Oryctolagus cuniculus: one gene and its partners. Each later gene encodes a partner of the first gene's protein in a complex. Links are inferred from orthologs where the notes say so. Each region holds a gene or a part of one and is shown in the gene's direction. Other genes may lie near its edges. The genes, in order: NAA20, SNCA and NAA25.

Evidence for each region.
Region 2: the proteins of NAA20 (region 1) and SNCA are in contact, whole or in part, in a cryo-EM structure (PDB 7STX), measured with the Homo sapiens proteins. The link is inferred for Oryctolagus cuniculus from reciprocal best matches to the Homo sapiens genes NAA20 and SNCA. Residues at the interface, in NP_057184.1 of Homo sapiens: Leu23, Thr24, Glu25, Tyr27, His73, Val74, Thr75, Ala76, Leu77, Ser78, Leu110, Phe111, Tyr137, Tyr138, Ser139, Ala140; in NP_000336.1 of Homo sapiens: Met1, Asp2, Val3, Phe4.
Region 3: the proteins of NAA20 (region 1) and NAA25 are in contact, whole or in part, in a cryo-EM structure (PDB 7STX), measured with the Homo sapiens proteins. The link is inferred for Oryctolagus cuniculus from reciprocal best matches to the Homo sapiens genes NAA20 and NAA25. Residues at the interface, in NP_057184.1 of Homo sapiens: Thr2, Thr3, Leu4, Arg5, Thr8, Cys9, Asp10, Leu12, Phe13, Phe15, Asn16, Asn19, Leu20, Pro22, Leu23, Thr26, Tyr27, Gly28, Ile29, Pro30, Leu33, Gln34, Leu36, Ala37, His38, Pro40, Glu41, Pro49, Glu52, Met54; in NP_079229.2 of Homo sapiens: Ser226, Glu227, Ile228, Asn259, Asp261, Asp262, Trp263, Gln264, Arg318, Arg321, Leu325, Lys362, Pro363, Cys364, Thr367, Asp368, Val371, Leu457, Thr459, Glu460, Leu461, Ser504, Ala506, Leu510, Leu532, Asp533, Lys535, His536, Ile537, Gln538.

Annotation. Positions count from the first base shown.
Region 1 is NC_091442.1:44,638,236-44,642,643, forward strand, and holds the start of NAA20 (N-alpha-acetyltransferase 20), read left to right. Parts: upstream 1-1,607; 5' UTR 1,608-1,822; coding exon 1,823-1,875; intron 1,876-4,408. UniProt on the Homo sapiens protein: Catalytic subunit of the NatB complex which catalyzes acetylation of the N-terminal methionine residues of peptides beginning with Met-Asp, Met-Glu, Met-Asn and Met-Gln. Proteins with cell cycle functions are overrepresented in the pool of NatB substrates.
Region 2 is NC_091439.1:75,768,304-75,771,986, forward strand, and holds part of SNCA (alpha-synuclein), read left to right. Parts: intron 1-3,082; coding exon 3,083-3,225; intron 3,226-3,683. UniProt on the Homo sapiens protein: Neuronal protein that plays several roles in synaptic activity such as regulation of synaptic vesicle trafficking and subsequent neurotransmitter release.
Region 3 is NC_091452.1:9,430,765-9,434,919, reverse strand, and holds the start of NAA25 (N-alpha-acetyltransferase 25, NatB auxiliary subunit), read left to right. Parts: upstream 1-1,242; 5' UTR 1,243-1,638; coding exon 1,639-1,696; intron 1,697-4,155. UniProt on the Homo sapiens protein: Non-catalytic subunit of the NatB complex which catalyzes acetylation of the N-terminal methionine residues of peptides beginning with Met-Asp, Met-Glu, Met-Asn and Met-Gln. May play a role in normal cell-cycle progression.

The DNA of each region.
Region 1 (4,408 bases):
CACAGAATGTTCCAGAAGCCCAACTCCCCGGGAGTCCTAAGGGGTTTCATGCAATTGGTGATTTTTTAAATAAATTTGTTGAAATGATGATGGCTGCGTGGGAGAAAGCTGAACCGATTCTTTTTGTTTTAAAGTCAGGTTGATTCAGGTAGAACTGACAGGCAGTAAAATTCCCTCCTTGTAGTTTGCAGTCCAGGTGCTTGGACAGACACGGGACACATGGGGTCAGGAAGCCACCCCTGCTTAATGTATCTCCCCTCTACCTCCCTTCCCACCCCTGCATCGGTCTCCGTGTGCTCCCCTAACCCAGCCCCAGGCCATCACCCTTCTGTTTTCTCTCCCTGTAACTCTGCCTTTTCCAGACAGTCCTATGCCTGAAATATGGCGCCCAAGCTTCTGACGCTACTTACCCAGGACTGTATGGGTTTTTGTGTGAACGTAGCTTTCTCTTCTCTGGGATAAATGCCCAGGAGTGAGACTTGACTGGTAGTTCCATGTTCAGTTTGTACAGAAAGCCACCAGCGAGACTGCTGCTGTGGTGCATCAGGGAAATCTGCCACCGGAGATGCCAGCATGGGCACTGGTTTGAGTCCTGGCTGCTCCACTTCTGATCCAGCTCCCTGCTAATGTGCCTCAGAAAGCAGTGGAGGAAGGCCCAAGTGCTTGAGCCCCTGCACCCGGAAGACCCGGAAGAAACTCCTGGCTTCAGATGAACCCACCCAGCCCCAGCCATTGCAGCCTTTTGAAGGAGTGAACCAGTGGATGGAAGATCTCTCTCTCTGTCTCTCCCTCTCTCTGGAGCTCTACCTCTCAAATAAATAAATAATCTTTGGGCCGGCACTGTAGCATAGCCAGTAAAGCTGCTGCCTGCAGTGCCAGCATCCCTGATGGGTGCTGGTTTGAGTCCCAGCTGCTCCACTTCCAATCCGGCTCTCTGCTATGGCCTGGGAAAACAGTAGAAGATGGCCCAAGTCCTTGGGCCCTTGCACCCACACGGGAGACCCAGAGGAAGCTCCTGGCTCCTGGCTTCTGATCAGCACAGCTCTGGCCGTTGTGACCATCTGGGGAGTGAACCATTGGATAGAAGATCTCTCTCTCTGCCTCTCGGAAACTCTGCCTTTCAAATAAATAAATAAATATTTTTAAAAGCCTCTTTTTAAACGTGTGGCAGGCAGTGGTCACGTTTGTGCTACCTGTGGACCTGAACTTGGGGCTCTCCGGGACTATTGCTACACCTGATTTATGCTCATGCATTGTTGGGGTTGGAAACCACACCTAGAACTCAGCTTGGGCCTCGGAAGGTCCTTGTGATTGGGGGTGGGGAGGCTCCTTTTTCTCAACCACCTGGGTTCTCATCCTCCTGTTAAGCCTGTGCCTCCTGTCTGGTTAGTAAGTTGGCCCCACGTGGTGCAGCTTGGGACCCAGGGGAGTTGGAGACCTGCGTGTCTTGCAGTGCCGGTTTCACCTGGATGAGTTATTTGATTTCTGTCCGCCAAGACCACTCCACTGGTTATCTAGAGAGAGGGTGAGGGAAAAGAATCTTCCAAGCAGGTGGCTCTGCTTCCGTCTGAGTCTCTACACCTGTGTTGCCTATACTGTTAGCCATGACCCGCTGCCCGCGACGTTAAAGGAATGTCCCGGTAATACCAGACGTCGGCCGCCAGAGAGCGCTGTGTCTTCGCAGTGTGGCTGAGAGACTCGTGACCCGGAAGCAGTTCCCCTCCGTTGACCCGCCGTGGCCGTGCGCGGGGTGCTTTCCGGTGGAGTGGGCGCAGGGTCGAAGCGAGCCGGTTTCGGCAGGAGTTGGGGTGGCGGCGGCGACATGACCACGCTCCGGGCTTTCACCTGCGACGACCTCTTCCGCTTCAACAACATGTGAGTGCGGCGCGTCCTGGGCCGCCCGCTGCTGGCCGGGCGCAGCCCCGGGGGCCGCGGTGTCGGAGGCCGGGTGGGCCCGGGGCTGCGATCTTGGCCGAGGCCCCGGGCGCTGCGTGCTCTGGGGGCGCGGCTGCGGGGCGCCCGCCGCTAGCTGGCTCGTGGAGGGCCCGGGTCGCGAGCGAGGCAGCTCTGGGGCCGTGGGAGCCTGCGGGCTGGGTGCCCGGGCGGCCGCCGCTCGCGCCCGGCTGCTGTGGCTACGCAGCCCGGAGCGGCGGCCTCGTCCCCCTTCTCTCCTGTACAGCCCGATGAGCGGGCATTTGCGCGGGGTGCGGAGACCAGGCAGGCCCCGTGACTCGCAGGCACTGTTTATTTTGGAGTTGTCCGGGCAGTTGGGAAAGTTGACTTTATTGTCCCATTTCGCCGTCCTGGCCCCCGTGCCGTGTCTGACTTGCGGGGCAGCAGGTCCCGGGTCAAGGGGACTTGGGGACGAGGTAGCCAGGAGCAGCGCCGAAGGGCGGAGGCGGTGCGTGCGGGGAGAGGTGCGCGGTCGGTGCGAATGCGGGTGTGGTTCCTGGGACAGAGCAGCCCGGGAGAGCAGGGTGACACGGCTCGGCCCTATGGTCAAGAGGCTTCCACTCGGCCTTGCGGGGAGACTCCTTTGTAAGCCCTGACCGGGGCCCAGCCCAGGAGGCTCGCATTGCGCGCTCGCCGCCCCTGCACCTGTTATGAGTGCTCCGGTGATAACCCGTTTAAGTCCCGCTACCCTGAGACGTGCTGTCTGTCATCGCATTCTGTGAATGAGTGAACCCCGGCGTGCAGGTGAGCCGGCCCTGAGATGGGAGTGGGTGGAGTCAGCAATTAATCCTGGTAGCCTTTTTTTTTTTTTTTTTTAAAGAATCACAAAGTCAGAATACTGTTTTAAAAAGATTATTGGGGGCTGGCGCCTTGGTGTACGTAGTAGGTTAAGCATCCTGTGGCGCCGGCATCCCCTATGGGCACTGGTTTGAGACCCAGCTGCTCCATTTCCGATCCAGCTCTCTGCTATGGCCTGGGAAAGCAGTAGAAGATGGCCCAAGTCCTTGGGCCCCTACACCCACGTGGGAGACCTGGAAGAAGTTCCTGGCTTCGCCATTGTGGCCATTTGGGGAGGCAACCAGGGGATGGAAGACCTCCCTCTCTCTCTGACTCTTCCTCTCTATCTGTAACTCTGCCTCTCAAATAAAAAAATAAACCTTTAAAAAAATCTATTCACTTATTTGAAAGGCAGAGTTAGAGGGAGAGACAGAGAGTGCTATCTTCCATCTGCCAGGTGCACTAGCAGGGAGCTGGATCAGAAGCGAAGCAGCTGGGTTTAAGTGGCTGCACCACAAAATCAAAGTGTTTATTGTATTCTTTCGGTTGCAACATTGTTAAGCATTCCTGCTACAGCAGTACTGGTCTGCAGGAGCTTACCAGCCGTAACAGTCAGCGGGAATCACACACCCAGTGATGAAGGCATCCGATCAAAGGGGCAGGTGGTTCTTAAAGAGTTGGTCCCTGGTCACAAGGGATATTTTGGAACTGCAAATGCTTGGCTGAGAACTGCGGCTTTGGGGGCTAACTTCATTCCCAGCAGCAGCTCTGTGACTGTGAGCGGAGCAGAGGAGTTGGCCCGGGCAGCAGCGCACAGGTGGTGGCCTGAAAAGAGCTTGTGTTTGGGAGGGGCAGCCTGGGAGCGAGCGGACAGGGTGCAGCTTGGCGCTGCGGGAAGGGGTGGAAGGGTGTGACGTGACACAGGTAACGTGGAAGGAAACCACAGCAGAGCCCAACGTGGGGCTTCCGAGATCATTCTCTTTGTTCAGGTCTCCGTCATAGGCCCGCGGGAGACCCTCACTTCCTCCCCGCTGGCTCCTGTTGCGTGGATTAGGGCATTGTGGTGGGAAACTCAGAGTCACTGAAATTAGTGTCCGAGGAAGACTTGAAGCAGCGCCTGTAGAACGCTGCAGTTCACCTAACAAACACGGACTTTGGGGAAAGTATTTGAGTGCCTACTGTCGGCCAGTATAGAGATGCAGTGAACAAAACAGAAGAACACTGGTGTCTCTATGGAACATGCATTTTAGAAGGGAAGCAGTAAATACAACATGTAGAACGTAGTGTTGCGCAGAGAGAAGAAGGGACCCTGGAAGGGAGTGGGCATTGAGCTTTGCACTGGGTGTCCAGGGAAGGCGTCAATGCAGACGGACCAGAAGGAGTGGGTGAGTCCCGTGCACGCAGGGGCAGGGGAGCTGTACGGGCAGCAGTGACCTGCGTGGCTGCAGTGGACTGTGGGCATGTGAGGGGACACCCAGGAGGAGGGGTCAAGTTTAGGCCTGGACTAGAGAGAGAATTGGGGGATGGGAGGTCGTGACTACCTAGGTGACTGGGAAGCTGGGTGATGTCCATGATGGAGCGTGGCTCCCTTGGCCATCCAGGATCGCAGTGTGGCCCACAGGTGAGGTGGGATGTGGGGGGCTGAGTGACGAGAGCGTTTCAGGTGGCGTGGGGGGGG
Region 2 (3,683 bases), on another chromosome or scaffold:
CTTGAATGTGTCTTCTTAGCTTTTGTTTTATCCCTCTTTGGAGTGTTGATGAGCAGGGAAAAGGGAAACAGTCTGAAAGTTCTCAAAGGTATAAAAAGGAGGCTCACAGGCAACAGGGAACATACTAGCAAAGTCAGTCCTAAAGAAATCTTAGTACATATGTCTATTATTGCCGCCTGTATATGCTGTCATTTTATAATATACCTAAATTATGTATCATTACAGCCACAAAGCCTCATGAGTTGCAATTACATAACAAATACACTTTACTGTATAGTTTGGATGCATTAAAATAATAGATAAAAGTTTCTATCTAAAGGATTGCCTAGATTTTGTAAAATTCATGAAGGGCAGAGAAACTATGAGTTTGTAAAAAAACCAAAATCTGTTTTTTTCTTACTGGGAGATTTATAACAAGAAAATGTTCATTTCAAGCAAAACTTTCTGTTCATGTTCTTAAAAAAGGAAAAAATGACAACTTGAAATACATAATTCACCATTTTTAAAAGATCAACACTCCAGAAATGTTTAAAAACATAAATTTTCCAGTACAGCTTTTCACTGGCATTTAAATTGAACTTTGAATTGTAAATAGCTGTTACTCCTTCAGAGACATTAGTATGTTCAGTGGCACAACGTCACTAGGCAAACCTGCAGAATTCTGGGCAAAAGGCAGACTGAGAACAACACCTGCTGTGGGTTCGTTGATTTTAGACTGTGTGGCTGCTTCACCCTTCCCTACAGTGCCTGGATGAGAGTCCTTACTCACCACCCTTGCTTTCTTGACCCAAACACTCTACTTGAAAACAAATTGCCTTGTGCCACTGTTTAATTATTGACGCCCCAAACTAGTGGTGTAAGATCTGAAAAGGATCACGCGAGTAGCATTTGGAGATGTTTCTCAGAGAGAGGCTCACCAGGAGGATATAAGGATGGTGAAACATGAAAATATGGCTTTATTCTTAATGGAGTGCCTAATGAATGAATCCCTCAAAACCCCAAATTCCTGAATGTTGGGGGAAAAAGCAGAACAGGAATGAGTTTGTGGGAGCAGAAGGAAAGAGGGCAGAGATTCTGTAGACAAATAAGAGATGCAGGACCAAAGGCTTCATGGCATGGATGGATGTTATAGCAGGTTGGATGGAAATGGATGGTTTTATTTCTGTATTGAATTATTATTTTTATTTATTTATTTATTTGAGAGGTAGAGTTACAAACAGTGAGAGGAAGAGACAGAGAGAAAGGTCTTCCCTCCGTTGGTTCACTCTCCAACTGGCCGCAATGGCCGGAGCTGCACTGCTTCTTCTTGGTCTCCCATGCAGGTGCAGGGGCCCAAGCACTTGGGCCATCCTCCACTGCTCTCCCAGGACATAGCAGAGAGCTGGATTGGAAGAGAAGCAGCGGGGACTAGAACTGGTGCCCATATGGGATGCCGGTGCCGCAGGCAGAGGATTAACCCACTGCACCATGTGCTGCGGCCCCCTGTATTGAATTATTAACAGCATAGAATCTTTTATATTTGGTTGCATACAACTTTTTAGTTAATTGAAATTAAAATTTTATTTGGGCTTTCTTTATATAATTATATTGAAATAATATAGAAAACTTGATTCCACAAGCAGGTACATTTCTAGGATGTCTTTGGGAGTTTTTGATAAGAAATTAAATCTCTAGATTATAAATTTACATTATTTACACCATCTTCTCTAAATTTTTAATTGGTTTTAGAAATATACTGAATTATTATATCATATTTTGTTTTATGGAAGTGAATTATATGTTCAATAAGCCTCTTAATTTTCATATTAACTTAAAATCTAGATGCTTTGTTCCCATTAAAATTACTGACAATCTTATAATTAAGAACCTTTCTGTTTCACAAACTGAAATTTTATAAAAGGTTCAGAATTCCTTCTTAACCATTCCTCTGCCATTGTGCATTTTGATAGTAACATGTATGAGCACAAAAACAGTTGGAGTCTCCCTTATCTAAAATAGTTAGGTTTGGAAGTGTTTTGGATCTTGGATTTCTTTTGTTTCGGTGGGGGGAATTATGGTATATTTGCATATACCAAATAAGATATTTTGGGAATGAGACCCAAGTCTATACACATGATTTGAGTATCACATATACCGTATATGACTGGCCTGGAGGCTATTTTATACAGTGTTTTAAATAATTTTGTACATGAAACAAAGTCTCATGGTGTGGAATTTTCCCCTTGTGCCATCATGTTAGCACTCCAAATGTTTCAGATTTTGGAGAATTTTGAATTTTCAGATTAGGGATGCTCAACCTGTAGGTAGAATGTGTCATGTTGCTCAGCAATCTGCTGAAAATGAACTTGCTGATTGAGATAGAAGAATCGGCCCTGAAATTGAAATAAAGAAATAAATTTCTTGCTGAGTCTGATTCCACTATATCTGACTTTGGAAGTGCTACTTTCTGCAACTTTCCTAAAAATAAGTCAAACCCAAGCTGCTTGTGGGCCTACACTTGTGATCATTAAAGAGGAGGCACCTTCTAAAGTCTGTGTGATTATAACAAGATGTCAGTGAAGATGCAGATTTTGAGTAATCCCTCTCACTTAGAAATCTTGGTAGCTACTATTTCCTGTGATCCTTCAATTGCCTAAAGCCTGTGTAAATACAGGCTGAACTGGGGCTTACACTATGGCTCACTTGGTTAATACTCCGCCTGTGGCGCTGGCATCCCAGATGGGTGCCGGTTTCTAGTCCTGGTTGCTCCTCTTCCAGTCCAGCTCTCTGCTGTGGCCCGGGAGGGCAGTGGAGGATGACCCAGGTGCTTGGGCCTCTGCACCCACATGGGAGACCAGGAAGAAGCACCTGGCTCCTAACTTTGAATCGGTGCAGCAGCCATTTAGGGGGTGAACCAACAGAAGGAAGACCTTTCTCTCTGTCTCTCTCCTTCACTGTCTAACTCTATCTGTCAAATAAAAAAAAAATCTTAAAAAAAAAAAAGAAAAAAATACAGGCTGAATGGAAGTTGACTGTTAGTGGAAGTAGAATTTTATAAAGTTGCTGCTGTCTTTAATCTGCTATTGCTTTTCATTCACCCCAGTGGCTGAGAAGACCAAAGAGCAAGTGACAAATGTTGGAGAGGCAGTGGTGACAGGTGTGACAGCAGTCGCCCAGAAGACAGTGGAAGGAGCGGGGAGCATTGCAGCCGCCACCGGCTTCGTCAAAAAAGACCAGCAAGGCAAGGTATGTTGTGTGAGTTTGATGTTATATTTAAACTATCGCAAGATCATGGCTCATTCTCAAAGGAGGCGAAACTCAGAAACAAGATGACTGCCGTGGGGGGAGTACTGCCTGATTCTCCTCAGAAAAAAGTACTTCTTTCATATGGAGCTTGTATTTAGGGTATGAACACCGAGAAATGCCATGCAAATTGTACAGTCATCACGACTGTTTCAGTTTCTGGAAGAGCACTAATGAAATGAGCGATGTGGTAAATGCCAAAAGGAACAATGACATTTCACAAAGAATGGATGCTTTATGTTAACTGTGCATCTTGGAATGCCTCTTTGTTGGAAACGCCAATCATTTGTGGCTAATCTCTAAAGTTCCAACATAAAAATCCTTTACTCATATTTGGTACTTGATTTCTTCATGTCATCACCTGCTAAATGGCATATTTGCATATTACATAGCAGTTCATA
Region 3 (4,155 bases), on another chromosome or scaffold:
CCGTAGTTTGTATTCCATCAGTTTGTCAGAATGAAGAGACGATGCATGTAAAAGAGATTAGCAGAGTTTGGACATAGTAGGTGGTTAGTAAATGCCCAGTATTAGTAGTTACTATTATCATTACAGGTTTTCTCTAGATATGTGTATATTTAAAATTTTAATATAGGGGCCAGCGCCGTGGCTCACTTGGTTAATCCTCCACCTGCAGCGCCAGCATCCCATATGGACACCGGGTTCTAGTCCCGGTTGCTCCTCTTCCAGTCCAGCTCTCTGCTGTGGCCTGAGAGTGCCGTGGAGGATGGCCCAAGTGCTTGGTCCCTGCACCCACATGCGAGACCAGGGAGAGGCACCTGGCTCCTGGCTTCGGATCGGCGCAGCTCCGGCAGTGGCGGCCATTTGGTGAGTGAACCAATAGGAGGACCTTTCTCTCTCTGTCTATAACTCTGTCAAATAAAAAAAAAATCAATAGCAATTGCTAACTTGCCCTTCTGCTGGGTTGTAAAGGGTTGAATCTAGAACCCTTAATTACTACTTCTCAAAGATTGAATTAGAATCTCTGTGGATAAAGCCGCAGGAAACTCATGTTTATTAAGTTTCCCGGGGTGGGGTGGGGTCTAAGAGTCTAATGTCCACTTGGAGAATCGCTTTCTTGGACATCAGGGCCCAGGAAGGGAAGAGGGGACACAGCAGAAGGGTCATCCCAGGGGACACTGGGGTTGGTCTGACACAATGCTCTGATTGTACTCGCAGAGACCTGGGCTAGCATCAGCCAACAGCGCAGTCCGAGGCGTGACACCTGCCGGGCCCCCTCTCACTTCCTGTGACTCTCCGACAACTGTCACTTTCTCAGGCTTTCTCTCACCACACTATTTCACTGTAGCTTTTCTCACCCTGTAACACACTGCGCCGAGTTATCCGTCCGTTCCTGCACAGCTCAAGCTCCAGGAAGGTTTGATCTCATTTCTCGGTGCGTCCTCCCTACCTGCCTGCAACAGTGCGCGCAGAAACCAGCCTTGGATGAACTCATTCACCCGTCAGAGGGTAGCTGACTGCACTATCTGCCCTCAGGCCCGTTATAAACATTGACAGAACCCACGGAGAGACCTGCGGCAGTGTCCAGGCACACACTGAATTATATTCACGTTGGGGGCTTCCCGGTCGGCCCGGCAGAGAGGTGGAAGGTTCTCGAACTTTCCAGCAGATTCTGCGGATCCCTCCTTCCCTGCCCCCCCCCCCCCCCCAGGAGTTCCCTGTTCCTCAACAGTTAAGCAAAGCCACGTTTGACTGGTTCTTCAGGACTGAGAATAAACAGGCCAAGCAGGGGCGGCGGAGCCCTACTTCTAACCGGGAGCTTCCTCCTTTCCGCTCCTCACGCCCCCGGAGGTGACCGGGAAGGGAACGCATTAGCCACAACCATCTCCGCTCGCCGCCTTCCCGCACCAGCAAAAAGACGGGAACCGCAGCCAAGCAAGCGGCGACCGACGGAGGGGTGGGGCCAGCTTCCCCTTCCGCGCAGGCGCATTCAGTCGCAACACCACGACTATCGCGATAGACGCGCGAGATCGACGCTGGCCCTTTAACTGCCCCTTCCCGGGGGCCTGCCCCGCGCGTGCGCACTGCGGTTCTGCGCTTGTCATCATGGCGACGCGGGGCCATGTGCAGGACCCTAACGACAGGCGCCTCCGGCCCATTTACGGTGAGTGCCTGGGGCCAGCCTGGTCGCCGGCCCGACGCTCCAAGGGCTTCTGAGGCCGGGGCGAAGGCCCAGGAGGGGTGCTGGAAGCCTGCGCGCGGGGCGGGCGGGCACCAGGGGCGGGCCGCGCGGGCCTCTAGGCCGCAGCCGCGGGCCTCGCGTAGGCGCCGGGCCGGACTTCCTGAGCCGTGAGATGGTAGCGGCGCGGCGGGGGCTACTGCTGGGCCACGGAGCCGGCCTGAGAGGCAGGCCCGGTAGGGCGCGGAATCTTGGCGCTGCCGGTCGGCCGCGTTGTGATGGCCGCTCCCAGAGAGAGACTGTAGAGATCTCGCAGGTGGAAGCCGACCCTGGCGCTGCGGGGGAGCCTAACCGTTCAAGACTTCTGTTATTTGTGGGGAACGGGTCTGGTCAGGGCTGCCTGACTGGAGGGGCTCGGATGCACACGGAGCAGCCGCGACCCAGAGACGGGAAGGGGCTGGCGCAAGGTCACCCAGACGGAGGCAGGAGCAGGCCGCAGGATTCCAGGCTCCCCATCCAGGGCTGGTTCGTGGGGAAGCAGCTGCCCGGGGCACACGTGGGAGGCTGGGGTGGGGGGAGGGGGTCACGAACCCAAAATAGCGGCGGGGAGACGGCGGTGAGCCCTGCCGGAGGGGCGGCCCGCTGCTGGGAGACGAGCTGAGCCAACCCCCTGCACCCGGCGCCTGTCTTCAACCCGCCGCCTGTCATTCTGCTACCCTGGCCGTGGAGAATTGCAGAGTTGACTACGGGAGAAATGCACTTTTTTTTTTTTCAGTAGCCGAAACTGGACAATGAAAAATGGCCCCTATTGCATTTCCCTTTCTTTCTAGTTGGTTGTGTGGTCTCGGTGAACGGTGAGAAGGCGTCTAGGTCAGTGGTTTTTGCAAAAAGTAGGCTTTGCGTCTGTAGTAGTGTGGATGTTCCTAAAGGGAGGCTTCTCCACAGGACTGAGGTGTGCGTGTGCGCGGTGGAATAGGTGGGTAGTTTTATGGTCAGGCTTTTTATTTCATCATTTTTTATTTGATAATTTGCATGATACTCTGACTTCTCGTCTGGTTCTGTGTGCAGCAGTCCTGTGAAACCAGTACTAACAGTCACTGCTGGAGTGTGTAGAGCCCTCCTGCCAGTCTGTCCTAACCTTTTATAGAGGTACCTCACTCACTCTTCCCACGTGTACCGCGCATCTGGTGAGAAGCTTACTGTTGCTGCTTGTGTTTGCAGCATTTCTCTCTCTCACACACACACACTGCCCCCCCCCCCCCCCCCATTTTGCTGATGAGGAAACTGGGACTTTTTTGATGTTACGTAATTTGTCCAAGGCCACTCAGCGTGCATTTCTTGGAGCTCGGACTTGAAGTCCTGCGTGGGTCCCAGGCTCGCCCTCTTAGCCGCTGGAGCTGCAGGTCCTGGTTGGCCTAGGCTCTCACAGGTGGTGCTGGCAGAGTGGGACCCAGATTTCCATTCCCCAGGGCTGACGCTCGCACGCTCTTGCCCTCCAGCGGGTGTTTGCAGAGGGCAGAGCTGAGACCTGCAGGATGATGGTGGAAGGTGAGAGCTGAATGCGGTGCGTGAGACTTGCCCCTTCGTGTGGCAGCTGCCTGCAGGCTCTTTCCTGCCCTCCCCTCTGTCCTTTCTTTCTTTTTTCCTTTTTTTTTTAACTAAAAAGGCTGAATACTATTAAGAATAATTAGATTTTTTTTAAATTGTTCTCAAGGACCAAAGAGAATGCCTTTGGTTCCCACAGTCATTTAGAATTAATAGCATTTTGAACTGTGCCATAAGAAACACATGTCCATTTCACATTGCCGAACATCAGGATAAGTTAACCAGAAGTGACCCGTCATATTCTGGAAAGTGAACTCAGAATTATGCAGCTTTTGTTAGGGCTACATGGGAAGAGGATTAGAAGAGGCTTTCTTCAGGAATTCTAAGGTGATTAATGTAAACCGGCAGGAACAGGAAAAGTCAGGGTACAACACTCTTTTACCACAGCACTTTTGACTCTAAAGCTTCCGAATTTTGTTGTTTAAAATACATTACTGCTACGAAACAATTATTGTTCCTTGAATTCAGACATTCACTAAGCTGACAAGCGTGCCTCACCAGCCAGAAGTTCAACTGCCAGCATTGAGTACTTACTTGTGGGATAGCTGTCCTTCTAAGTAGGTGGGATTATTGTGGTCCTGGTAGGAAACTGAAGCCTGGAGGGATTACTTTCTCAGGATCATAGCTAAGCTAGGAGGCAGACACCGACATTCCCATTGGAGAACCCAGCCTGCACCAAGTTCAGACTTAGCACTGATATCCTTTTTAAATTTTTTTTTTTTTTTAAGATTTATTTACTTGAAAGTGTTATGGAAAGAAGTAGAGAGAGAGAGAGGTCTTCCATCCGCTGGTTCACTCCCCAGATGGTCGCAACGGCTGGAGCTGTGCCGATCCGAAGC